7 linked regions of the Cricetulus griseus genome follow. The protein of the gene in region 3 interacts with the protein of the main gene of each other region in a pairwise test. Links are inferred from orthologs where the notes say so. Each region holds a gene or a part of one and is shown on either strand. Other genes may lie near its edges.

What was found.
Region 1: the proteins of Pin1 (region 3) and Zbtb9 interact in binary tests that used the Homo sapiens proteins (3 or more experiments, as listed by UniProt). The two-hybrid records come from large-scale screens. The link is inferred for Cricetulus griseus from reciprocal best matches to the Homo sapiens genes PIN1 and ZBTB9.
Region 2: the proteins of Pin1 (region 3) and Cep76 interact in binary tests that used the Homo sapiens proteins (3 or more experiments, as listed by UniProt). The two-hybrid records come from large-scale screens. The link is inferred for Cricetulus griseus from reciprocal best matches to the Homo sapiens genes PIN1 and CEP76.
Region 4: the proteins of Pin1 (region 3) and Rbbp8 interact in binary tests that used the Homo sapiens proteins (3 or more experiments, as listed by UniProt). The two-hybrid records come from large-scale screens. The link is inferred for Cricetulus griseus from reciprocal best matches to the Homo sapiens genes PIN1 and RBBP8.
Region 5: the proteins of Pin1 (region 3) and Gli1 interact in binary tests that used the Homo sapiens proteins (3 or more experiments, as listed by UniProt). The link is inferred for Cricetulus griseus from reciprocal best matches to the Homo sapiens genes PIN1 and GLI1.
Region 6: the proteins of Pin1 (region 3) and Meox2 interact in binary tests that used the Homo sapiens proteins (3 or more experiments, as listed by UniProt). The two-hybrid records come from large-scale screens. The link is inferred for Cricetulus griseus from reciprocal best matches to the Homo sapiens genes PIN1 and MEOX2.
Region 7: the proteins of Pin1 (region 3) and Jakmip2 interact in binary tests that used the Homo sapiens proteins (3 or more experiments, as listed by UniProt). The two-hybrid records come from large-scale screens. The link is inferred for Cricetulus griseus from reciprocal best matches to the Homo sapiens genes PIN1 and JAKMIP2.

The regions. Positions count from the first base shown.
Region 1 is NW_023276806.1:232,169,859-232,174,000, forward strand, and holds the start of Zbtb9 (zinc finger and BTB domain-containing protein 9), read left to right. Parts: upstream 1-1,342; 5' UTR 1,343-1,618; coding exon 1,619-3,019; 3' UTR 3,020-4,142. UniProt on the Homo sapiens protein: May be involved in transcriptional regulation.
Region 2 is NC_048595.1:171,774,427-171,777,926, reverse strand, and holds part of Cep76 (centrosomal protein of 76 kDa), read right to left. Parts: intron 2,894-3,500; coding exon 2,708-2,893; intron 444-2,707; coding exon 346-443; intron 1-345. UniProt on the Homo sapiens protein: Centrosomal protein involved in regulation of centriole duplication. Required to limit centriole duplication to once per cell cycle by preventing centriole reduplication.
Region 3 is NC_048597.1:133,542,011-133,545,510, reverse strand, and holds the end of Pin1 (peptidyl-prolyl cis-trans isomerase NIMA-interacting 1), read right to left. Parts: intron 1,479-3,500; coding exon 1,368-1,478; intron 590-1,367; coding exon 480-589; 3' UTR 54-479; downstream 1-53. UniProt on the Homo sapiens protein: Peptidyl-prolyl cis/trans isomerase (PPIase) that binds to and isomerizes specific phosphorylated Ser/Thr-Pro (pSer/Thr-Pro) motifs.
Region 4 is NC_048595.1:224,629,486-224,631,684, reverse strand, and holds part of Rbbp8 (DNA endonuclease RBBP8), read left to right. Parts: intron 1-1,923; coding exon 1,924-2,065; intron 2,066-2,199. UniProt on the Homo sapiens protein: Endonuclease that cooperates with the MRE11-RAD50-NBN (MRN) complex in DNA-end resection, the first step of double-strand break (DSB) repair through the homologous recombination (HR) pathway.
Region 5 is NW_023276806.1:130,389,057-130,393,318, reverse strand, and holds the start of Gli1 (zinc finger protein GLI1), read right to left. Parts: upstream 2,801-4,262; 5' UTR 2,661-2,800; intron 2,448-2,660; 5' UTR 2,302-2,447; intron 1,043-2,301; exon of another isoform or gene 1,019-1,042; intron 768-1,018; 5' UTR 674-767; intron 194-673; 5' UTR 1-193. UniProt on the Homo sapiens protein: Acts as a transcriptional activator. Binds to the DNA consensus sequence 5'-GACCACCCA-3'. Regulates the transcription of specific genes during normal development.
Region 6 is NC_048598.1:164,545,608-164,549,107, reverse strand, and holds part of Meox2 (homeobox protein MOX-2), read left to right. Parts: intron 1-830; coding exon 831-1,003; intron 1,004-3,500. UniProt on the Homo sapiens protein: Mesodermal transcription factor that plays a key role in somitogenesis and somitogenesis and limb muscle differentiation. Required during limb development for normal appendicular muscle formation and for the normal regulation of myogenic genes.
Region 7 is NC_048595.1:194,225,778-194,229,277, reverse strand, and holds part of Jakmip2 (janus kinase and microtubule-interacting protein 2), read right to left. Parts: intron 1,649-3,500; coding exon 1,151-1,648; intron 1-1,150.

The sequences.
Region 1 (4,142 bases), on a different chromosome or scaffold from region 3:
ACGACCTTTTGTATGGACAGCTCTCCTTCAGCCTAACCCTCTACACCCACCCAGCCGGGGCCAAATTTATACTTCTATAAATGTTGTAAATATGTGAAATTTTATCCCGTGCCCTCCCTCCCCTCTGCTTACCCCACTTGAGGCCCTACCCGGTCCCTCCGCCCTCCTCTTTGGCTGTTGTAATTATCTGGGGTTTGTACTGTACATAACCGGGGTGGGGGCTGGGAGGCGACCCCTCTGTACAGAGCTTCCCGGCTCCCGGCCCGCCCCTCTCTCCCGCCTCCAGCCACCTTAAGAGTAGGGAGCCGCTCTTCTTACTCGTTTTGTTTCCTTTGTTTACTCGTTCTCACCGCCCTCCTCCCAGCCCCGTCGCCCCTCGCCCACTCCCGGCCCCTTTCCTTTTTTTCTGGAGTGTGTGGTGAAACAAAACTCATGTTTAATAAACGGAGATTGTTCTTTTATCGCTGGACTGACTTTTTTTTTAAAGATTTATTATGTAGACAACATTCTGCTTCCATGTATGTCTCACTGCACACCAGAAGAGGGCAGCAGATCTCATAACGGATGGTGTGAGCCACCATGTGGTTGCTGGGAATTGAACTCAGGTCCTCTGGAAGAGCAGTCAGTGCTCAACCTCTGAGCCATCTCTCCAGCCGGGGACTGACTTTCATTTATTTAGTTGTCGAGACAGGGATTCTCTGTGTAGCTTTGGAGCCTCTCCTGGCACTCGCTCTGTAGACCAGGCTGGCCTGGAACTCACAGAGACCCGCCTGCCTCTGCCTCCCGAGTGCTGGGACTAAAGTGGGCGCCTCCTCGCCCGGCACCGGAGTCCTGGAAGCGCTGAGGGAGTGGCCGGCGCTGCTCGGGAGAAGGCTGTCAGCCCGCGGCGGGCGGGCTCACCCAGGCGTGAGTGCGGACAGCGCACAGCGGCCGAGCGCCCACTCGGCTCTCGCCCAAGCCGCCGTCTGCGCGAAGCTCTCCGGAGGGGACGCCTCTGCGGGACGCGGCCGAGACCCGCGGTCCTGGGCGAGCGCGCGCCGCAGACTTCCGGTCCGGCCGCCCCGCGTGCACACCGCGGACGGCGCACCCACCTCGCCCTTCCCGCCGCCGCCGCCGCCGCTCCCCGACGGTCCCAGCCCTGCCCCCGGCGGCACAGCCAATAAGAAGGGGGCTTGTAGGCTGCCGTCCTTCCATTGGCTGCAGCCCGGCTCCGCCCCGCCCCCCCCCGCCCGCGCGCCTGGCTGCAGCGGTCCGGCGGAGCGGCGGCGGCTTCCGGCCGAGCAGACGCAGCGGAGGCCGGGCGAGCGGCGAGCGGCGAGGTGAGGCGGGCGTGCGGTGGGGGCGTGCCGGCGGGAGGGCGCGGCGGACGGCCTGTGTGAGCGCGGCGAGGCGGGCGGCGACCGGCCGGCCCGCAGTCGCGCCCGGCTGCCGCGGGGCCTGGAGGTGAACACCCGGCGCCGCTTCTCTCGCTGGGGCGCGGGACGGAGGCGCGGCGGCCGCTGGACACGGGCGCCTGGCCCGAACCTGGGTGACCCGCTCTCTCCTCCTCCTCCCAGCCTTGGGTCCGCGGAGCCCCGCAGGCCCCCGACGCCCTGCGCCTTCTCTCCCCGAGGTGGCCATGGATGCGGCGACGCTGCCTCCCACGCCGCCCTCTCCCCGGGGCAACCCAGCCTCTCGGACCATCCACATCGAGTTCCCTCATCACAGCTCCTCGCTGCTGGAGTCCCTGAACCGCCACAGGCTGGAGGGCAAGTTCTGTGATGTGTCCCTCCTGGTTCAGGGCAGGGAGCTCAGGGCTCACAAGGCGGTGTTGGCCGCTGCCTCGCCTTACTTCCACGACAAGCTGCTTTTGGGGGATGCGCCCCGACTCACTTTGCCGAGTGTCATCGAGGCAGACGCCTTCGAGGGACTCCTTCAGCTCATTTACTCGGGGCGCCTCCGCCTGCCGCTCGATGCTCTCCCTGCCCATCTCCTTGTCGCCAGTGGCCTGCAGATGTGGCAGGTGGTGGACCAGTGCTCGGAGATTCTTCGAGAACTAGAGACATCGGGTGGTGGTGGAGTCTCGGCTGGCGGAGGAGCCTCCTACCACACAGTTCTTTCCACAACCTCTCCGGGAGGCTGGTGCATCCGGTCCTCCCCTTTCCAGAGCACAGCGCGGTCCTCTGCTCCCACAGAGAGCTCGGCTTCTACTGAGAGCCCCGTGGGAGGGGAGGGGAGCAAAGTGGAAGAAGGAGTGTTAGAGATTCAGGTGAAGGAGGAGGAGGACGAGCAGGGGTCAGCAGCCCCGCTCTTCCAGACTCCTCAGCCTCAGAGAGTATCCGGAGGGTTTCCCCACGCCTGTGCACCCCACCCACTGCCCACATCTGCTCTTCCCAGCAAGCCTCCGGAGGAGGAGAATTCAGCCCTTGAGCCTCCTGCCCCTCCTGGCCGAGCTTCCCAGGTCTTGTATGTCAATCAGGAAGCCCTTGAGTCTAAGGAGGAGACATCAGGAAGTAGGACTCGGTCTGGAGGAACAAAGGAGAAGACCAAAGCCGTTTCTGAAGGGGACTCTGAGGGAAATGGGGAACTAAGATACTTGCTGTCCTCAGGAGGAGGGGAAACCTCTGGAGCAGGGGATCCACCCTGGAAGCCAGTGGATCTTCACGGGAACGAAATCCTGTCAGGGGGCGGGGGGCCTGGAGGCTCGGGGCAAGCTGTGCATGGGCCTGTGAAGCTGGGAGGGACGCCCCCCGCAGATGGGAAATGCTTTGGGTGCTTGTGTGGAAAACGGTTTGCAGTAAAGCCGAAGCGGGACCGCCACATCATGTTGACCTTCAGCCTTCGCCCTTTTGGATGTGGCGTCTGTAATAAACGCTTCAAGTTGAAGCACCATCTGACAGAGCACATGAAGACCCACGCTAGAGCTCTGCATGCCTGTCCCAACTGTGGCCGTCGGTTTCGCGTCCATGCCTTTTACCTGCGCCACCGCGACCTGTGCAAGGGCCAGGGCTGGGCCACTGCCCACTGGACTTACAAATGACTGCTAATGCTGTATACTGACTTCTAGGATAAGACATAGCCGCTGCTGCTGCTGCTGGATTCTTACCCTTCACCACCTCAGTCCTGGATCGTGTAGCCATCCCAAGAGATGAGATACGTTATGAGCCCCTTACTGTTGGCTATGGGCCTCACCCTCGTGTGCTCGGAAGTTCAGGGTTCTCAGTTCAGCTGTTTGTTAAGCAGACTCTAGGAAAGTCATACTTTTGATCACTTAAGCTATGTGGCCCTCTTTGTTTTGATAGCCAGTGAGGAAACCATTGACTTCAGATGAAGTTAGTGAGAGAAGAGTTGGAACAAAATGACCTAGTAACTTTTACTTCACCTTCACCAGGAGGTAAGGGAGCTGGTCTCCAACTAGAAACGTGTTTGATTCAGAGCTCAACCAATTGCCAGACTGAACTCCATGAGTGCCCCCACCCACCCACCCACCCACACACACACACACACACTCGGCAGTGCGCTGTTTCTTTCTAGAAGCTTTTAGATTGTACTTTGCCTTCTTACCAGTAGACACCTTCCAAAATATTCTTTTAAAAATGTACTTAAGCCAGGTGACGGTGGTGGCGCACGCCTTTAATCCCAGCACTTGGGAGGCAGAGGCAGGCAGATCTCTGTGAGTTCAAGACCAGCCTGGTCTACAAGAGCAAATTCCAGGACAGTCTCCAAAGCCACAGAGAAACCCTGTCTTGGGGGGAAAAAAAAAATGTACTTGAGCCTGCAACAAGTGTGGTTACTCACACATTTAATCCCAACACTGGGGAGCAGAGTTAGGCGGATCTCTGTGAGCTCCAGACCAACCTGGGTAGCATAGTTTCAGCATAACAAGTTTCAGGCCAGTCAGGGCTACACAGTGAGACCTGGTCTTTTTAAAGAAAAAAGTACTTGAGCACTTTAACATATCAAGCATTTCATATGTAATTGCAGAACCCTAAGAGGATATTCCCGCAACAGCCTTTGCTCTTTCTTGTCTAGACTACCACTGACAACTTGCTTATGATCACAATGACAGATGTGACCAGTGAACTCAGGAGATGGCAACTGACCTAAAACGCTCTCAGGGTAGCGCTGTTGCTCTCTGAACAAATTGCCCTGATCTGAAGGAC
Region 2 (3,500 bases), on a different chromosome or scaffold from region 3:
ATCACCCACCCCCAATGCACACAAAACACATGCAAATGCAATAAAGCCTTTTAAAATATCACCCCATGTTGCTACTCCAATGCCCTTCCACTTTGTGACACCCCCCCACATACACACATTCCAGTCCTGGAGTTTGCTAAAAGCCAGGGCCTTGTACATGCTTAGCAAGCACTACCACTAACTGTATCACCAGTCCCAGCTTAATAGTTCTTTCCCCATCCCTTTGGTTAATTCTTTTAGTACAAATCTAAACAGCAATGTTATTGTTTTTTCTAAAAAGACAATACTTTCTAGGGTAAATATTTCCTACAACTAAAGCAATGTACAAAAGAAAAACTGGCTTACCTGTGTGTTCACTACTTCTTGAGACAGTGTTTGGTTGAGTGGTGGGTACATCTCAAGTTTTATATTTAAAATTCCCACAGAAACTTTTGATTCTGTTCCTATAAATACAAATATTTAAAACTCTACTTAAACCTTATTTAAAACAAAGAACTTTCAGGACTATGTGTATTTAGTCAACCAAAGTCTAACCAACATAATTTAGGAGTGATGTACTTTATGACTTAAGTAGAGTTATAATACTCAACATTACACTTAATATTCATATTAAAAATGAATCAAACTTTTTAAAATGAACCAAATCAAATTGATTTTTTTCTTTGTTACTAAAGCTTTCTAAAAACATTTTAAGGAACTTTTCTGACCTTGTGGATTTAGAATTCTTAAATTTATATCTTTAATATAATATATAATTTAATGTATATAATTCCAACTAGATGCTACATTAAGTACAAAACCAAAGCAATTGTTAAGAGCCCATTCTGTCTCCATGAAAATCAGAAAGTATCCCAACTTTTTACCATATGCAGTAATTCCATCTACCCTTTCTTATCAAGTTTTCAACTATATATGATCTATATATACAACATACAAACATATATGTATATAAAACTATTCAATATTTCTTAACCAAATCGGTATATACTTATTTCCAGGTCATTGTTATGATTATCATGTTAGACCTATTTGCATCTATCTATCCATCCATCCGTCTGTCTGTCTATCTGTCTATGCACCTAAAGCATGCAGTGTCCTTGGAGGCCAGATCCCCAGGGACTGCAGTTAACGAACAGTCAGCAGTCAGCCACTATATGGGTGCTCTAGAAAAGCAGCCAGTGTTCTCAACCATTCAGCCATCTCTCCAGGCCCAGGTCTATTTTTGAAGACAAAGAACCAGAAATCACTTTAAAAAACAAATCTCATGTGTAAAGAGAATACTAGTTCTTTTTATTTAAGTACAGACATATTTTGAGTCTGACTTAAATTCTGAATGCTTTGCTGTCAACTGACCAAATTTAGCTTTTTTTCTTTTTCTTTGTATGAGTGCATGCACATTATGTAAATGGCTTTGCCCATTCACAAGAGTGTGGAGACCAGAGGCTGATGTGGGGCCACTTCCACTATTGCTCTCAGCCTTAGCTTTTAAGACAAAAGTCTCTCACTGACCTGGAGCTCACCAATTAGCTAGATTGGCTGGGCAGTGAGATCCCAGGATCTGCATGTCTCTACCGCCATCAAGACCTGGGATTACAGATGCATGCCACCATGCCCAGCTTTTTTTGTGGGTGCTGGAGAGACAAACTCAGTTCCTTCTACTTGTGTATCATCTTACCCACTGAGCCATCATGCTATCCCCAAGTTTAACTTGTATGAATAAGTTGTAATACCAATACAATTACATTATAAGTTATAGATAAAACATTAGTGGGTTTTTGTTTTCCTCTTTTTATGAGCTAATACATATTACATAGTAGGCAGTATGCAAAATCCAAGGAAATAATGGTAAGATAATGTACAACCTCTGTCCTTTACTATTCATTGCTACTGACACTGACCAAGTTAGCAACTCTTTCAAATTTTACCTATCCATAATAACGAACTAGAGGAACATCTACTCATTCGTCAATAACCACTGGTATGAAGCTGGCACGGTGGTACATGCCAATAATCCTAGCATGAGGCAGGCCAACTGTTCTGTAGAGGGAACTCAAGGACATCCCAAAATACACTGTGAGATTCTGGCCATAACCAACAAAACAAACAAAAAACCCATAACCCACCCCCTCCAAGAACCAGTGTGGTGACGACGGTGATGTGCTGTACTCTAGGACATACCAGAAAGAAGCTTATGCATACACCTATTCATATGTTTAAAAGAATCCTGCTTTTCTTTATAACCTTATATTTAACAACAACAACAACAAAATGTTGAACCTCCAGAATTTCCATTCATTTTGCAGACAAAAAACATTCTTTGGAGCTGGAGAGATGGTTCAGAGTAAAAGCACACTTCCAGAGGTCCTGAGTTCAATTCCCAGCAACCCAATGGTGGCTCACAGCTATCTATAATGAGATCTGATGCCCTCTTCTGGCATGTAGGCATACATGCAGGCAGAACACTGTATACATAATAAATAAATAAATCTTAAAAAAAAAAAAAATTCCTCAGGATAAGAAAGACTGACTTTGAAGAACTATGGTGGCATTATTCTTCCAGCTATTCCCTAAGCCAACTTACCACTGAAATTCTGATGAAAGCCTGTTTTACAAGTCTCCCTCCTGTAAAGCCCTTTTGACTGATATAAAATAAATTTGCCAACAAACAGTATTTATAAAAAGGTGAAAGTGACATTAATCATCATACCTACACCCATAAGTTCCACAGTCAGATTGGTCACTCCATTTTCTGAGCCCAAAACTGATCTCCATTCCAGAAAATAGGATGCCACTAAAGTAGTCTCACCAAATATGTCTATTTTGATCAGCACCATGTGAATTGGATCACTTATGGATAACATTGTTGTTGAATCAGCCATTCTAGTCCCATCACCTAACAACACAAACCGAAGAAAAAACACACTATATTACGTATTACTTAGTAACACAGAATCATTTTACAAGCTGAGGATATAGCTAAGTGGTAGTGACTGCCTAGCATGCCCGAGGCCTTGGATTCCATACCCAGCACCACACGCACATATGTGTACATATAAGAGAACTGGGGTGTATACACACACACACACACACACACACACACACACACACACACACACACACACTTTTATTGAAAAGTATTCTAAATAAGCTTACATATGATGGAAATAATTTAGTAAGGTCTCTCAAAGTATGCCAGAATCTGGGGGAAGAATATCACCCCATTCTATGACTGACAACTGCCAGGACTAGCAGAATAAGATGAATTATTTAGAAGTTACTTAGTTATGTTACTTACAGTAGTCAGTACTTTCTGATCCATAAAAAGTCTAATCTTCAAAAGAACTTATATTATGTACTATTACAAAAGAAAAGGCCATCAGCTAAATGAGTTAGCACACACCTTAAATCCAAGCACTCTGGAAGTAGAGGAGGGAGGGTCTGTGAGTGCAAGGCTAGTCAGAGCTACATAGTGAGACCCACCTCAAAACTCCACATACACA
Region 3 (3,500 bases):
TGAGACAGGAACCCCACACCCCATCAGGAAGGTAATGAGATACAGTACCACCAGCCAGTGGTTCCAGATTTAATGGAAGGCGCATGGGGCGCTGCACCACACCCTGAGGCTGAGTTGCTGCATCGCCAGGTGTGGAGTGTCTGCTTTTTGCAACTGAACAGAGGAATGGAGCATAAAACTAACAAGAAACAAGGCCCTCCTGCCTGCCTCTGGGACCTAGGGGGAGGGGTCAGGTCACCTCTGACCCACTAAGCCTGAGGGCCTCCACACCCCCACTGCCCTTCTGAAGTTAATTCCTTCAGAAGGAGCCTGGCTAGGGCAGCCCCAACTGGGGGCAAACAGGGAAAAGGAAGCTCAGAGTCCTTATCTCAGAGCCCCCTCCCAGCCATTTTAGGAATAATAAATACTGTGTGACAGTAGCAGGAAGGGGCGTCCATGGACTGCTTGGCAGCCTGAGTAGGCCGGCCAGTTGCCTGTCCTCATTCTGTGCGCAGGATGATATGGATGCCCGAATCTGTGAACACTGGCCCACTCATCTCCCCTGTCCGTAGAGCAAACGATGCATCCTCAAACGGTTTCTGCATCTGACCTGTGTGAAACAGCAGAGGTGGTGGGGGTCAGGCGCGAGTTGCACAGAGATGGGGCTCCTGCCTGCACCTAGTCTCAAGCATATTCATCACAGGGTTTATGGCCCTGTCACCCTGCACTGCTGAGCTGTAGCCCAGCTGAGGGCCACAGGCCCATTAGGAGGCTCTGGGAAGCCCAAGGACAGCATGAGGAATGGCAGGCAGTGCTGTGCTGTGCATTTAGACACACTGCATGATGAACTCTCTTGGTTCCCAGCTGAACACCATCTGTCCTGCAGGTAGCTTGGGCTGCCAGCAGAGGGCCTCGCTAGGCTCCCTCTCCCAGGCAGGTGCCAACACTTAGAACTCCCAGCCCACAACAAGGAGATGAAGGAGAGAAGGGAGGAGGAAGGGATCCTGATTTCCTCTGCCCTTGGAAGACATTCTGAGCTCTGTCTGGGTCACCAACTGGACCTGACCTTGCCTTGCCTGCCCATTTTCCCCACCTGCCAAAGGGAAGAACATGATTCTCAGGGGTCTTGTCCTATAGCTAGATGCCAATGACAGAACAGAGTCACCTTGATGGGCCGGTGAGGGGGACAATGATCCTGAAGGGAAGATACCAGGGAGGTTTTACATCCCTTTAGCAGCACAAAAAACACAGGCCAGGAAGCCTGAGGGCTGTGCTGCCACCTGGTGGATTAGGAAGGCACAGAGTAGGGTTTCTCCCCCTTCGTGGGCCCAACCACCCCCAACACTATAGGGAAGGGGCTGAGTGTAGCGGTACCCACTCTTGCCTACCTCTGCTGAAGGCACCCAGGTCTCCCCTGGCTTTGGCAGAGCTGCAATCGCTGAACTGTGAGGCCAGAGATTCAAAGTCTTCTTCTCCTGACTTAATCTTCTGGATGTAGCCTGCAGGGACACAAGGGGAGAGCCCTAAGTCAGAGAGACACAGGGGCCAGCCAGGATGCAGGGAGAACAAGGCACTCCCAGGAGCTGGGCCAGGCCTGGCCTGTGCACCATGCTCCCTATAAAGACATGCTGCTGCCTTTCTGTTGTAAGACTTCCCACCCCCTCATGCCTAAGCAATCACACCTGTGTCCTTATCATGTGCGCACATGAAGACAGTCCTCCCACATGCATGACCCCAGGGTGCAAACCTGTCTGCCATCCCCATGCACCTATGGCCCTACTATGTATGACCTTAGTAACCAAGCTAGTCACCCACAGATGCCCAAGAATATAAGGACCCCTCCAGACACACAGTGACCTCTTTTCAGCCCTGGACACAAACAGTTGGAACCTCACAGCAGATGACTGCCCACCCCTAGTCCTGGGGCAGTCTCAAGGCTCTGGAGACCACAGGTGGCTAGCATACAGCCAAGCTCTGCATAGGAGCTGGTGACATCCTCAGCTGTGGGCCTCAGGAGTCCCCACCTGTGCAACATGGAGGCACAGAAGAGCTCTCACTAGGACATTTTGATGAGAACCTGAGGTGAGGCTGTAAGGGATGTGTGTGAGCGCCTGCACAGTTGTCCCACAGGCAAGCCACACAACAGGTACCACAGGGTATTGGCAGAGCTCAGGAGGTATTAAAGCATCTCTACTGGGCTGTGACTCCCTGCAGGGTTAGGAGGTCAGGGCTGCTGGGAGGAAAGTGAATGATGAATGAAGCAAAGTCTCAAAATAACAAAGTCATGTGTCACAAAATCTGACTGAGTTCTATCCCCAGAACCCACAACAGTAGAAGGAGAGAACCAACTCCTGTAAGTTGTCCTCTAACCTTCAAACACACATGCCAATCACCAAACCCTACCCAAACAAAATGACACAAACAAACAACAGAATGTAAAGGACCTAGGCTCAGGGGAGTGAAACACAGCACCAGGTCTGTATGACTAATGTCTCAGGAGCAGGGTGCACAGACATGCAGATGCATGGGAAACTGCTATGCTCACACAGACACCTGCTAGATTGGGAGTTGCCAGGCACCTGAGTCCAGGCAGTGCCTGAGATGAGCATGCCTGCAGTAGCATGCCTGCGTGCATACAAATAAATGAGAGTAAAAGAAAAAAGAATTGAATTGGTTAATGGGAGCTCTCACTTCAGAGGGTTATTTGTGGCATGAATGAGTGACTGCCATAGTCAAGGCTAATGCACAAGTCATTGCTCTGCTAAAGGCTGCATGATAAAGTCCCAATGTTCGCTGTAAAGAAGCCCTGGTTCCTGGTAAGACTGTCCTTGGAGATAAGGAGTCTACAAGGATGGGCCCTGAAATGATAAGTACCTGTTCATAAAAAAGTTTTAGCTCAGCTGGCAGAGTGCTCGCCTTTCTGCACCAGGCCCTAGGATCAATTTCCAAACTAGGGATGGTAGTGCAAACCTAGAATCCCAGCACTTAGGAGCTAGGTGGACAGGTTAGAAGTTCAAGGTCACCTTTGGCTACACAGGGAGTTTAAGGTCAGCCTGGGCAGCATAAGTTCTATTATTAAAGGAGGCAGATGGGGCGAGCAAAGATAGCCAAGGGGCAGGGCACCAAAGGACACAACAGAAGACAAGAAAAGCAATCTCAGCAGGAACCTGATGGGGAAAGTGAGAAAGGCACAGGTCTGTGGTGGCTGGTGAGAGGGAATCTAGAGGAAAAGCATGGGGCATAGACTTTTCCAGAACTGGGACTCAAAGAAACTTCTGTCACCTAAGCTACCGAGCTTGTGGCACTGTGTTACAGCGACTAAGGGACAGAATGAACCAAAAGGATGTTTCCTCATCCTAAAAGTGTTTAGACAATCCCCTTGCCCATCTCCCAGTTCACAGGTGGCCATAAGGGAAGAGACTGGTTATGGAAGAGGTAGTAACATCATTGGATATGCTATCCTAGAAGACCCAAGACCCAGCAGGAGGGGCCCAGAAACCCAGCCACAGGCCATCAGGCTG
Region 4 (2,199 bases), on a different chromosome or scaffold from region 3:
AACACCTAACTTCCTCTTTTAGATTTTCTTATTAACTATGATCTTAAAAATTTGATAACTGGGGCTGGAGAGATGGCTCAGAGGTTAAGAGCACTGACTGCTCTTCCAGAGGTTCTGAGTTCAATTCCCAGCAACCACATGGTGGCTCACAACCATCCATTATGAGGTCTGGTGCCCTCTTCTGGTGTGCAGATATACATGGAAGCAGAATGTTGTATACATAATAAATAAATAAAATCCTTAAAAAATTTTTGATAACCAAGGTACTTGAAAGTAACATGTGAAGGTATGAATTAATTACTGTACGCACTTGTGAAAATATGCTCTGAATCATAGCGGGAATGTAAACTGGGATCCTGTTTTAAAAAAACTGGCGGTTGTAGTTGCTTTCTGTGGCTGTGGTAAAGCATGATGGAAAGTAGCTGGGACGGGGGTTGTTTAGCTGACACTTCTGTGTCACAGTCGATCATGGAGAGAAATCAGGGCAGGAACTCAACTCCAGCAGAGACCATGCTGCTTACTGACTTGATCCACACGGCTTGCTCAGCCTGCTTTCTTATAGAACCCAGGACCACCATCCCACTGATGCCACTACCCACAGTGTGTGAGGGAGGCCCTTCCCCATTGATCACTAATTGAGAAAATGCCTTACAGCTGGATCTTGGGGAGGCATTTCCTCAACTTCTTCCTCTCTGATGACTCTAGCTTATGTCAAGTTGACACATAAAACCAGCCAGTACAACTGAACCTTTTCATCCTGACGTACAACCGCATCACCATTAAGCTCCATTATTCATCCCCAGATCTCACATTAAAACATAAATAACCTTATAAGTCCCACAGTCTTTTCAAATCCAGACACAATGGGCTGGGCCCTCCCACATCATTCATTAATCAAGAAATTGCCCCACAGACTTTCCTACAGGTAGTCTGATGGAGACACTTCCACAGCTGAGGTTCTTCTTTCCAGGTGAGCTCTTATCAACTTACCTTGGGTCAAGTTGATAAAAACTAACCAGCACATCAGTGCAAATAAAACCACTTAGATACAGTTATCATAGCAAGGACACTGTTGATCTGCTTTAAATGGTAAAAAATAAATGTATATCTCTCATGTACTTACTGGTTGTAAGTTTATCCCATGTCTATTCCAAATGTATGGTGAAAGTATGATAGGGACCACAAATGTCACATGTGTGAAAACAAGTGTTTTCTACATTTGATCCCCATGCTTCAGGACTCAGTCTCTTATATGTCTGGAGTTTGTTTTGAAGGAAAGATTCTAGTTACTCACTATGTTTTTGCACATATCAATAACTTATCTTTCAGCAAATCCCATGGATTCTACCTTCAGAAAATTCCCCTTTACATTCACTTACTAGCTCCACTGTCAATGCCCAGTACATACCCAGACACCATCTTACCAAGAACTGTTGAGTTACTCTACCTTCCTTAATACACTTCACCCTTCAGAACGTGAGCAAAAAGAGAGTCCTCATACATGCTCACCTCCATATGCTCCCTTTTTGTTCTTATCTTTCACTAAACACAATGAAGGTCTTTGTAGTTTTTCCTAGTGATCTTTTAGAATAGAAATAAAATCGTGCCAGTACCTTTCAGCGTCTTCTCAGCTTACCAAGTAGCTCTCTTACCAGGCCCAGGGGTAGTTCAGTGTTAGTGTGCCAAGGTTGGTGATTGTTAGTGCAAGCCTCTGTTGATAAAGGAAAGGCTGTAATACAAGCTCCTTTTCTCATTTATGAGTCAAGCATTTCACAATATCAGCACTGACTGTTTTATTATCATTATTATTATTACTGCAATATAATCAGTATTATTTCCTTAGAATGTTTAATCTAAAAAGCTTTTTGGCTTCTAGTTTATAATCAATAAACATAACATGAAGTGTTTACCTGTTGTTGTCAGTACTATGCAGATATGCCAGCGGAAGAAAGAGAAAAGAAGTTGGCTTCCTGCTCACGACACCGATTTCGCTATATTCCACCCAGCACACCAGAGAATTTCTGGGAAGTTGGTTTTCCTTCTACTCAGACATGTCTGGAAAGGGGTAGGAATAAATTTCAGCATTTTATATATGTATTTTTAAATATAGTATAGAGTAAGTCTAAATATTAGTCCTCTTTCTATAACTCTTCATCTTATGCTGTGTGTTAGATGCTGCTTCTGAAGAATACAAGGGAA
Region 5 (4,262 bases), on a different chromosome or scaffold from region 3:
CAGGGCTGCTTGCTCGCTCTGAGCCCCAGCCCAAGAACGCATATGCAAACTCCCCAGTGTCCAGTAGAGGGAGACCTCGCTTCAGTGCAGATTGGCTGGTGGGGCCAGAAGAGAACACACAACTGATCTGTCCTCTTAGCCGAGAGAACTCTGTGTGGGAGGGAAAAGGGCTTCGCAGCAGAGTGTCTCCCGTCTGTTGAGTAAAAAGGATAGAGGCTAAAGTCATTCTGCGGCGGTTTGAGTCTGGACCTACCTAACCCTTTTGGTCTGTGGACGGGGGAGTGGATAGGAACTTTGGGGAGGAGCTTAATGAGGATGAGAAAACCAAGTCCTCTATTGGAAAGGATCAAGACAGCAGGGCGAGGGTGCGAGGTCCAGTTTTCCTTCTCTCAGCCAGCTTGCACTCCACTCCACGTTTTTCCGTCCTCCGGGAGTGGAGGGTGGGGTGGGGCGGGGTGGGGTGGAGAACCACCGGGAGCGGGCCGGCCTGCGCGGTGGGTGATCCCGGGATGCTGGGATTTAGGGTGAGGGCGGGGCAAAGTGGGGAACGGAACCCGGACCCTACGACCCAGCCCAAGTGCTGCAGCCGGGCTGTACCTATGCTAACTCCTCCTTTTCCAGCTGAGACCCGGATCCCGCATCCAAGACCTCCCAGCTCGACCCTGGCACTCACGTTGGGGGTGGGGGGCACAGCTGGCTGGCAGCTGGATGAGGGGGCATGTCTCCTGCCTCCTCCGCTGTGACTCACTCAAGGCAAGAGGGAAGACCTGTAAACGACCCCCAGACACTAGATGCCCTCTCAGAGATAGATGTCACTCTTATTATCTTCCTGTCCCACTGCCGGACCACCCCAGGAGACACGGTGAAAAGGGGGGCGACGGCCCTCCTCGCCCACGCGTGCCACAGTCTACACGCACGCCTCCCCTTCATCCTAGTAAAGAGGTCTCCAGCTAGCTTTTCCAGTTTCCCTGGAGGAGGTTTTTCGGGGCGGGATGGGACAGGGAGCACTCGGAATTACCCTGCCAGAGACCCGAATCATCTTCAGTGTCTATTTTCCAGAGTTCTGTGCGTACCCCTTCTCCCCAACTCCCAAGAGCCGGCCCCACCCCCTTCTCCCGGTCCCGCCTTCCCCGCCCCCGTGCCTTCTCGGCCCACCCAAGTCGCCGCCGCAGGCTCCGGCTGCAGACGGCTCAGCTTCCCCCGCCCGCCCGGGGAGCCCAGAAAAGCGGGGGGGGGGGTGACGGGTGGAACATTCTTCCCTTCTCTCTCCTCTCTCCCTCTCTCAACGCATCCTGAAAGCAGGCGGTGGCGCCCGGGGTGGGGGGCACTATTGGAAAGTGGGGTCCCTGTGGTGGAGCGGGAAGGAAGAACCCAGAGCCTACAGAAAGAAGTGCCCGAGTCCACACAGTGCGCTAGGAGAGGACACCTTAGACTTCTGAGTATCTCAGCCGGCCTCCTAAGGGTTAACCCCTATAGACCCCCGGGAACCCCCTAGTGACGTCAAGGGCGAGTCGGAGACGTCGGTCCGGCGGGGATGCCCAGGGAGATAATGGGGTGGGGGGTCCTTCCGAACCCCGCCCCCTAGGGGGAAGAAAATCACCCGCGTTCAAGAACTTTTCTCCCAGAAAACTGCCCGTCCCTCTCCGTGCACTGGAGGGAGAGACCTATACCGTCAAGTCCCGCTTCTCCAGGCGCCCAGAACCCTCGGTCTCTATGGAGTCCCCTTCCTTCGTCCTGTCCCCAAAGCTAACTGTCCCTCCCGGGTTGATTGTTTCAGGGTCATGGGGCCTGAAAGAGGATTCAGAGCGGGGAGCAAGGGCAGGCAGGGTGGTCTAAGCCAGAGGAGGGGCCTCGGTCCCCAGCTCCCGTTTGGGCGGGGGGCCAGCGGGGATACACAAGCTGGCAGTGGCCGGTGGTCCCGCTTTGCTCCAGCAGGGGTCTCCTGCCGCCTGGCTTCAGCTGCCCCGGTGGTCCCGAGGTCAGGGGGTCAAGACAAGGTCTCCCCAGCGCTCGCTCTTCCTTGGGGCCTGGCCCGCAGTCCTCGGGACTGAGAAGCACGAATTCCCCACAGATTCTCCCCACCTCCCCGCTAAGGCCTACACTACACGTTTGGAAACCCACCCAGCTTCCTTCCTAGTTCAAAAACACTCCTCTTGCCCCCAAACTCAAGGCTTCATCTGGACATCTGTCACAACACGGGTCAAGAGTCCAATCCCAGCCGGGCCCTCAGTGATTGTGTTACCTCCAAACACTCCTGTTCCCACCCCACTGAGCGCTTTCCAGCGGCGCCCAGACACGCACCTGGAGTTCCCTCTACCACGCAGACCTCCTGCTGGCCGTCCCAACAGCCTCTTCATGCCAACTTCAAGAAAGGGAGATATGTCTAATAGGTGGGAGAGCGCAGACAAAGAGACCAGGGACAGACAGACTGCCAGAAGAAAAAGGAGCTAGGGAGGAAAAGTAGGCACGGATTAAGGCACAAAAACGAGAAAAACATCCAAACTTCCTAATAGCTCATCCCAATCTCTTCCACCCCGTTATTGCCTCTGCTGTGCCCCAGGTCTCCTTGTGGGATGGGGAGAGTCCTGGGCATCCGAGCATCTCCTCGGCCCCCTCCCCCATCGCTCCCAGGTGGTCTCCCCTCCTGCCCCCCCTCTCACCTCAGTCGGGGCGCAGTGCTCGGGATGCGCGGTCCAGGGTTGGAAACTGGGCTGGGGGGGTGCTGCGGGGAGGGGGGCGACAGGGCCACTGCAGCGCAGCTTCAGTGCCACCCCCCCCCCAACCTGGCCCCCAGCCCTCCGCCGGCCCAGCCCGCCGGGCCGCGAGCCGGGACCACCCGCGAGAAGCGCAAACTTTTTTTTTTTTTTTTTTCTCCTTTTGCAAAAACTTTTTCTCGCTCCTGCCACCGGCGCGCCGCCGCTCTTCCCGCTCACTCCCCTCCAATATCCTTCCTCCAGGCCGCTCTAGAAGGAAGATGAGGCGGGGTGGCTAGAAGTTAGAGAGGGGGTGCCGGGCTTATGGCACCCCCAGGACCCCCAGGATCCTCCCCCTCCCTTGAGGGACCCTATACTGCCTACTACCCCCCCTCCCGAACACGCTGCTCTTGGTGCACGGTAAATCCCGGCGCGGATCCCTGGACCGGCTGTCCACGAAGAGGACCTGAACCAGAGCCAGGAAAACATTGGGGAAAATATTGCGCGGCCGGCGGGGGGCGGGGGGAGGGGGAGCGAGAAGGGGGGAGCTCACCCCAGAAAGTTAACTTTGCAGGTACTGCCGTCGGCTCTGATTGGTCTTAATTGAGCCTTCTCCATGCTGTGGTCTACAGGCCAGCCTCATTCTTAGGATGGAACGTGGAGGATTTGGGAGAGTTGGGGTTTGGGCAAAAGGAGTTGGGTTGGCTGCGGTAGAAAGTTTTTTTTTTGGGGGGGGGGGTGCGGCCTAAGGAACTTGAGAGAGGAGCATGGGCTGAAGCTGTAAGTGCTGGGTGTATGTTCACAGATCACCGAAGCGTCCTCTGTCTAAAGGATCTCTGCAGGGAACCCTACTTCTCCATCTCCAGATTCTGGAGACTGAGCCCACCTTCACGACGCTCTCTTTAAGGCTTCCTGCGCCCTCTGCAGGTCGTACTCGCACATGGCACTCGCATGTGCGCAGTCGAGTTGATTGAACTGGAGAATTTAAGGACATTTGACAGGTTCCCTTCCAGGCCCAGTTAAAAGCCCAGGGAGGGAGCTGCGTGAGCCCAAAGAAACAGAAGGGTACACCAGGGGAGATTGATAGTCCCTCAAGAGAGTGCCTGTCTCTTTGGATTTGTGTGGCCTTGGTGACTGGACACCAGGGAGAGGGCAGCCAGTTACGTTTCTCACCTGGGAGAGAAGCTAATGCATGGTGGAGAGAGCAGTTTCTTCCTATCTCTCGTGCCCAAGCCACCTTCTCGCGCCTGCAAGGCAAGTGTGATTAAAAAGCCAACAAGCACGGTGAAGGTAGGGACAGGTCTGAGACTTTACAATTGTGGGGATGGGAACAGATAAGGAGCCAACCTGCCATTCCACATGACTGACAGGTTCATTCCATAGACGGTACAAGGGACTGGTCGTCTGGGTAGGCCGGTGACCACAGAGAAAGACAGAACTGTGTATGTCATGTGACCCACCTTCTGTAGCTGGACAGTTATGGAACCTCTTGGTTTCAAGACCACTCTACGGCCTTCTGAATTCTGTTGGAAGGGAATTGTTCCCGTGTTTTGGAGTCAGGCTCTTACT
Region 6 (3,500 bases), on a different chromosome or scaffold from region 3:
TAGGCTGGTTATCCATTGCTGTATGTCTAATACTCACTTATGAATGAGTACGTATCATGTTTGTCTTTCTGTGTCTGGGTTACCTCCCTCAGGATGGTTTCTTCTCCATTTTTCTGCAAATTTCAAAATTTCATTGTTTTTGTTGTTGTTGTTGTTGTTGTTACACTGAATAGTACTCATTATGCATGTATACCACATTTTCCTTATCCATTCTTTGATTGATGAGCATCTAGGTTGCTTTCAGGTTCTGGCTGTTACAAATAATGCTGCTATGAACATAGTTGAACAGATGTCTTTGTTATATGAATATTCATCCTTTGAGTATATGGATAAGGGTGGAATTGCTGGATCTTGACGTAGATTGATTCTTGTTTTCCTGAGAAACCGTCATGGGCTTGAAGTTTATATCCAATCACTAACCTATTTGTTTGGTAAAACAATCATATATGCAATTATTGCTTCTTTGAGGATTCCATATTCATTTATGCTTAGACCTTATGTACATGTAGCAAGAGAAAAATTTTATTTTTACAGTTGTTTGCTGATGAGGATTTGGTTTACTTTATTGTTACAATACCATTTTAGAAGTTAAAAATTGTGTTTGTATTTTACAGATGTATAAAGAACATTCCCAATTAAATCAGAGAGAGAGAAGGAAAATCTATCTTACCCTGTGGACATGTGATCAGTCTTACTGTATTAATTCACCATTAACCCTCTGTCTAGCCAAGTACTTGGAGAAGTAACTATTCAATAATTGTGAATGGTATGTTTGCATACATTTGCATGACTGTGTTAACACCCATCTTCTTGCACTTCCCCCCCCCCAGATTCGCAGGAAGGAAATTATAAGTCAGAAGTGAACAGCAAACCTAGAAAGGAAAGGACAGCTTTCACCAAAGAACAAATCAGAGAACTGGAGGCAGAATTTGCTCATCATAACTATTTGACAAGACTGAGAAGATATGAGATAGCGGTGAATCTAGATCTCACCGAAAGACAGGTAAAGTGGGCATCTTAGTTGTATGACATTTTATATTTCTATTTTTTATATTAGCAATCTTCTTTTACCATTTTTAATTATCTAGATTTATAATTTTCAAATGCCAATTAGAAATCTGTACTATTCGATGATTAAACTTTTGTTCTGCAAAAATTAAAACTTAAAAAAATGATATATGAGTGAAAGGTGTGTTTACTGAGTTTTAATAAGGAATGCTTTGCGATGGTAATATTCCTCTGTTTGTTTTAAAAACATGGTTTGTTTTAAATAATGTGGGTAAATGGTGAAATATTTCCTGTGTTTATATTTAAGATCTCCTCATCTGGTGTAATAAAAGGTTAGTTGTCTCTACAGGTCAGGATAGGTCATTCCATATTGCAATAGAACATTAACTTTTAAAACTAAAGCACAAAATAAAACAAAATAAAATGAAGTATCAATGGCTTATTTTCTTCATGAGTTCTACAAATCCAGCACTCTGAATAGTCACTCATGGTCCGTGGAATCTTAACGTGTGGTGCTGTTGGTAACCACAGGAGGTTATAAAAGAATTGGCAGTTCCCTTACTGGAGATATTTTCACCTAGAAATGACTCATATTCTCTCCATTTATTCTTATGTGTTATGAAATGATCAAGGGTGTAGCATGGGAGCAAGAAGGCTGGGTAATTATTGGCAGCAAGAACACACAGACCACTGATAAATATTTGTTCTCTATTATCAAAATACTTCAAAATTGTGTTTACTCTAGAAATTCAATAGTCTGCTATCTGCTCAAAGAATGCTTTGAAAGTGTTAATGATTCATGTGTCCAATAATGAGAACTAAATAATGTATTTAAATCCATTGCTTTATAGACTCTTTTATTTGGTTGTGTTTGGATGGAAAGTAATTTGTTCTGTTAGCACTCAGGGAGTACGCCCTATATTAATTCACATTTACTTTAGGACAATCCAGCCTTCAGATGGTTAACAGTCTTGCTAGTTAGAAAAAACATTCCTAAAAGGCAAATGCAAACATCTTTATGGACAGTGCAATTATAGCAGGCACTATTAGGGCAAGAGCTTCACTTCCTCTCTCACTGTTCATTCCCCCTCCAGGGGTCCCATAGGAATGAGGGAAATACCAACATGGTGTGGACAAATGACAAATGACTATCATACTTTATGATAGCAAGTGATTTTATCAAGTTCTTAAGTCATATTTTTTTCGTTCTGCTAATTTTTAGATTTCAGTTTCTGTGGGATATTTCTGGTTAGAGAAAATATACAAAGGAACACTTTTTTGAGGTTTCATTTATTGGCAGTTTATATTTTATTAAATATTATGACTAGTTCCTAAGCTCTGCAGTACCACATTTTCTTCCCCTGAATCACACACGGAGTTCCCTCTGTGAATGTGTGGCATTTGGCACTTCAGAAAGCAGGAACTAAAGTCTACATCATCAGATCACTCATCTATTTTAATATGTTTATCTGGGAACAGGGAAGTAAAGAAGGGGAAAAATTACAGTGAACTCCAGGAAAGAGCCCCATGTTTTAGAAATGCGAAGAAAATTGGCAACTGGAATTGAATTGCCATCTATACAATGATTGATGGAGCACTGAGCTCTAGCCAAGAGCAAAGACAAGAGCTATGCCTGCTCATATGGTGATGGTCCATCATCGTTCTCCATATATCCCAATGTTCCCATTCAAACTGAACCATCTGGCCAAATTCAATGTCAAGTAAAGAGTCATTATAAATATTGCTGAAGTAAGCTAGCAATAGTCTTATAAGAAAATCAGAAAAATAAAATAAACAAACAACCATCAAACAGACAAAAATCACACAAAACAAAAAAACTTGGAGAGATACTTGTATTCTCAAATAATTGAAAACTTGGGACTGTGTAATTTCTTCCCCATTTTGAGAATATCTTCTGGCATTTGCAAGTTAACTGGAAGGGTAATATGTTCATTAGAACATGCATACTAAATCAAAGCTAAATCTCTTAAGGTACACTGTCATAAATGCCAATTTTAGGATGCAAAATCCATGAAGGAATATCTGGGATTGACCACTTAGAAGTTTATTTTCTTAGAGTAGCAAAAAATATGTTTGAGTCACAAATAGAAGCAAATATGTTTTCTCTTTCTGATTTACTCACCATAGTGGAAATAAAAACATTTTCCTTTTTTAAGGATTTTATTTATTTATTTATTTATTTATTTATTTATTATGTATACAATATTCTGCTTCCATGGATATCTGCACACCAGAAGAGGCCACCAGATCTCATAATAGATGGTTGTGAGCCACCATGTGGCTGGGAATTGAACTCAGCACCTCTGGAAGAGCAGTCAGTGCTCTTAACCATTTCTCTAGTCCCCAATATAGACAGCTGCATGGTGGGGACTCCTCATTCACAGGCCTGTTGGATAAATCCATTGGTAGCACAGATACTTGTTGAGCTGGGTACTAGAAAGAAAATCCTGTCAAAATAAGCTGAGAGTCCA
Region 7 (3,500 bases), on a different chromosome or scaffold from region 3:
CACAACAGTGGAATTCCTAGGAACTGGTTCCTGAGGATTGGCAGACACAAGAGGGAAAGGATGGTTTTCCCTGAACAGTATTCTACTAAGAACAGTGGTTCCCAACCAATGGGTTGTGACCCCTTTGGGAGGAGGGTGTTGAATGGCCCTTTCATGGGGTCAAATATCAGATATATATCAGATATCCTGCATATTAGATATTTACATTACAAGTCATCACACCAGCAAAATTACAGTTATGTAATATCAATGAAATAATTTTATGGTTGAGGGTCATCACAACATGAGGAACTCTATTTAAAAGGTCTAAGCATTGGGATGGTTGAGAATCACTGGCTTAGAGAAACATAGTATTAAATCCATTCTAAATGGTTTAAGCTAATCCTCAACTTTTGTACATAGATGAATATCAATTTCCCTTCTAAGATCACAGGATGAGGTTAACCTAGGACATTATAGGACAGCACTAGATTAATGCATTAGACTAATTTATTAATGCATTGACTAATTTATTTTTAGCATTACGAGGCATCGGTATATGGTTTTTGGCTTTGCAAGCAAAACAAAACAAAACAAACAAACCAATTCTGTGTGGGTTGAAGTAAAGTATATTGCAAACAGAAAGGAAACTCTTTGTGAATGACACCCAATTAAAAAATAGAATGGCTCATAACAAATATTCCTTGATTATTTGTGGGAAAGGAACTCGGTTTCAAAATGACCAGGGATTTTATAGCTCCACGTTTGCACTGATGAATCACTCAGCATGTTTTCAATAGTGACCATTTTCAGACAAATTGTAGAAACATCCCTTTGTCCTGTAAAATACCCAGGGGCACTTTACAACTGGGAAACCCACAAAAACAAGCTAAGGTTGGAATTGTTTGTAATTTACAATCTTTTCATGGACTACCCAAGAACACATGTCGCTGAGTGAATACCTGTGAAAATGAGGACTGTAAAATCTCTTACATTTTATAATTCCAATTTCTACCAAAGTACCTATCAGTCTACCTTGTGTTTTGAATAGTGTAGCGGCAAAGCCAGGGTGTATGTTTATAGTAACTGACAGTTGAACACTCAGCAAAGCAAATCACACAGAGCTCTGGCAGAGAAAGGTTTCTGCCGGGCTCTCATTATTATTACTGACCAGCCTCCGAATGTCCCGTTCTGACTCCCACTTGATCTTCGAGATGGCTTCCTGGTGGGATTGATGCTCACTCCTAAGGTCACCAGCCTTGATTTTGTCCGCTTGGATCATATTGCTCAGAGCCTCATCCACCTGCTTCTTGGCAGTTTTCAGGTCTGTAATTTCCTGCAAGAGCTTCAGACGCTCTGCATCGAACTGTTTCCGGGCCTCCTCCCTGGCCTCAATGGTGAGAGCTGTCCTTACTTTGTCACTGCTGCCATCCCGGAGGGCGCACAGGGCAGACTTGAGTCTCTGGATCTCCCCATCCCGTACCTTCACTGTCCTTGACATTTCCTGCTCATGCTGCTTGATGAGATTCTCCCTCACCGCCTGCAGCTCCTTCATCTTCTCCTCATGGAGCTTGGCTTTGAGCTCTGTCACCAGGACCGTGTGCTTGCGCTGCTCCAACTCACGAATCCTCTTTGCTTCTTGCGTCTTCTCTCTTTCAAGCTTTGATACCTAGAGGCAGAGAGGTGAAAGGAAGAAAAAGCGTGAGCCTCAAAGAGAACTCGTGCTCCCAGGCAGGATCTTGCAGCTTAGGCCGCTGTGATCTCTTAATATCTTATTTATTAAAAAAAAGTCCAAGCTACTGTGTGCTCAGAGGGAAAGGAAGCACAGACCTTAAAGCAGAGACTAGGGTGTATAAAAAAGGAAACAACTAAGATATTTATCTTAGTGTGTTCAGACAAATACTTGATGTCCTGGGCCTTCTTAATCAGCACGTGGTCCATAGATTAGCAGTTCCAGAGACACTCAGAAGTCTGTTAGAATTGCAGAATCCCAGGTTCCCCACCAAATCCATAAATCAGAATGAATATGCCTTTTAACAACTCCCCAGGTGACTGGTTTACCCAGTCAAACTGGGAGGCTTTGCTGGGGTAGTTCTCCCATTGGTGGAAAAGAGTCTACAACTACTGACTGTATAATTCTGGCTCCACCCAACCCATAGATGTGAGCATCTCTGGATAGCTCAAAGTTTGATACTGCAATAAGGCAAACAAATAGGTGCCTAAAATGTTACTATATAATACCTCTCTTTCTCTTACAGAAGGGGAGAACAGATTGCTGATAATGGAGAAGGTAAAAAATAAAGATAATTATAATAGCAATGACTTTATCTTTCTTTGTATAGTAACCATGTTCCATTCCCCGACTTGTGTATATCCACATATGTGCACATTAGGTAGCCAATTAGCTACAGCCCCAGAGCCTATAGTCTGTTGGGTTCTGTTGTAATTACAGGGCTTCAGGAATGCTATTTCTGCGTGCTGCCGCAGGTCTCTTTGTATTATTCTCTAGTCTCACTCTTATCCCTTGACCTTGATGCCACCCAAGCCAAATACTCCAAGTGATGTACGCATTTCTTCTAATCTTTCCACCTTTCAAGAATTCTGCTGAAAATAATCTCCTGAGTTTTGTTACATTTCCACTGACAACGTTAGTTCTTCCTGCCAATTTGTGCTACTTAAATCTCTGATTGAACAGGTCCCTATGATGTGGTTTGGCCACTTCAGTAGCATAAAAATTCCCTCTGGGGTCCTGTGCTATTCTCTCATCCACTCAGTTCATTCCATCACCTGTCTACATCTTCTCCCTGTTTCTTTTCTTTAGTGGACACACACACACACACACACACACACACACACACACACACACAGAGAGAGAGAGAGAGAGAGAGAGAGAGAGAGAGAGAGAGAGAGAGAGAGAGAGAGGGGAGGGAGAGAGAGAGAGTTTGAGAAAGTGAAAAAAAATGGGAGCCCCAGCAGCATTACCTAGTTGAGTGACAGAGAGCTCTGCCTCTCCCCGTACAATAGATTCTGATTGTGGTTTCCCCTCTCTCAAAATTTGAGAGAGTTTCAACCTACAAATGTCTGATGAGTCAAAGTCCCTTTTAGGATCATTGTAATTACAATATAGAGTGTTTAGGATTTCACTTACCTCAGTCACTTACTTACCTATCTTCAGCTAGTGCAGTATTTTCTAAGTGAAGTAATGTTTTGAGGCCATATGATTTTTAAAAGCACAGCAATTAATCTCACAATGGTTATCCTGTAAGGGTGGAGACCCCAGGAGGACTTGGTAAAGCAGCAGTGAGGTGTCTTCAGATGACTGTCTTCTGACCTCTCCTCAGCTTACTGTCAAGAATGCTGGCCACTGGCTACACTGAACACTTGCAATGGTGCAAAATACACTCTGGATTTTGAAGATTTATCACAAGACAGAGTTTTTGTTGATCCTTTTTTAATAGCTATGTGTTGAAATGATACTATTTTGTATGAATTAAGTTAAACAGGCTCTATTAAGGAAAGTA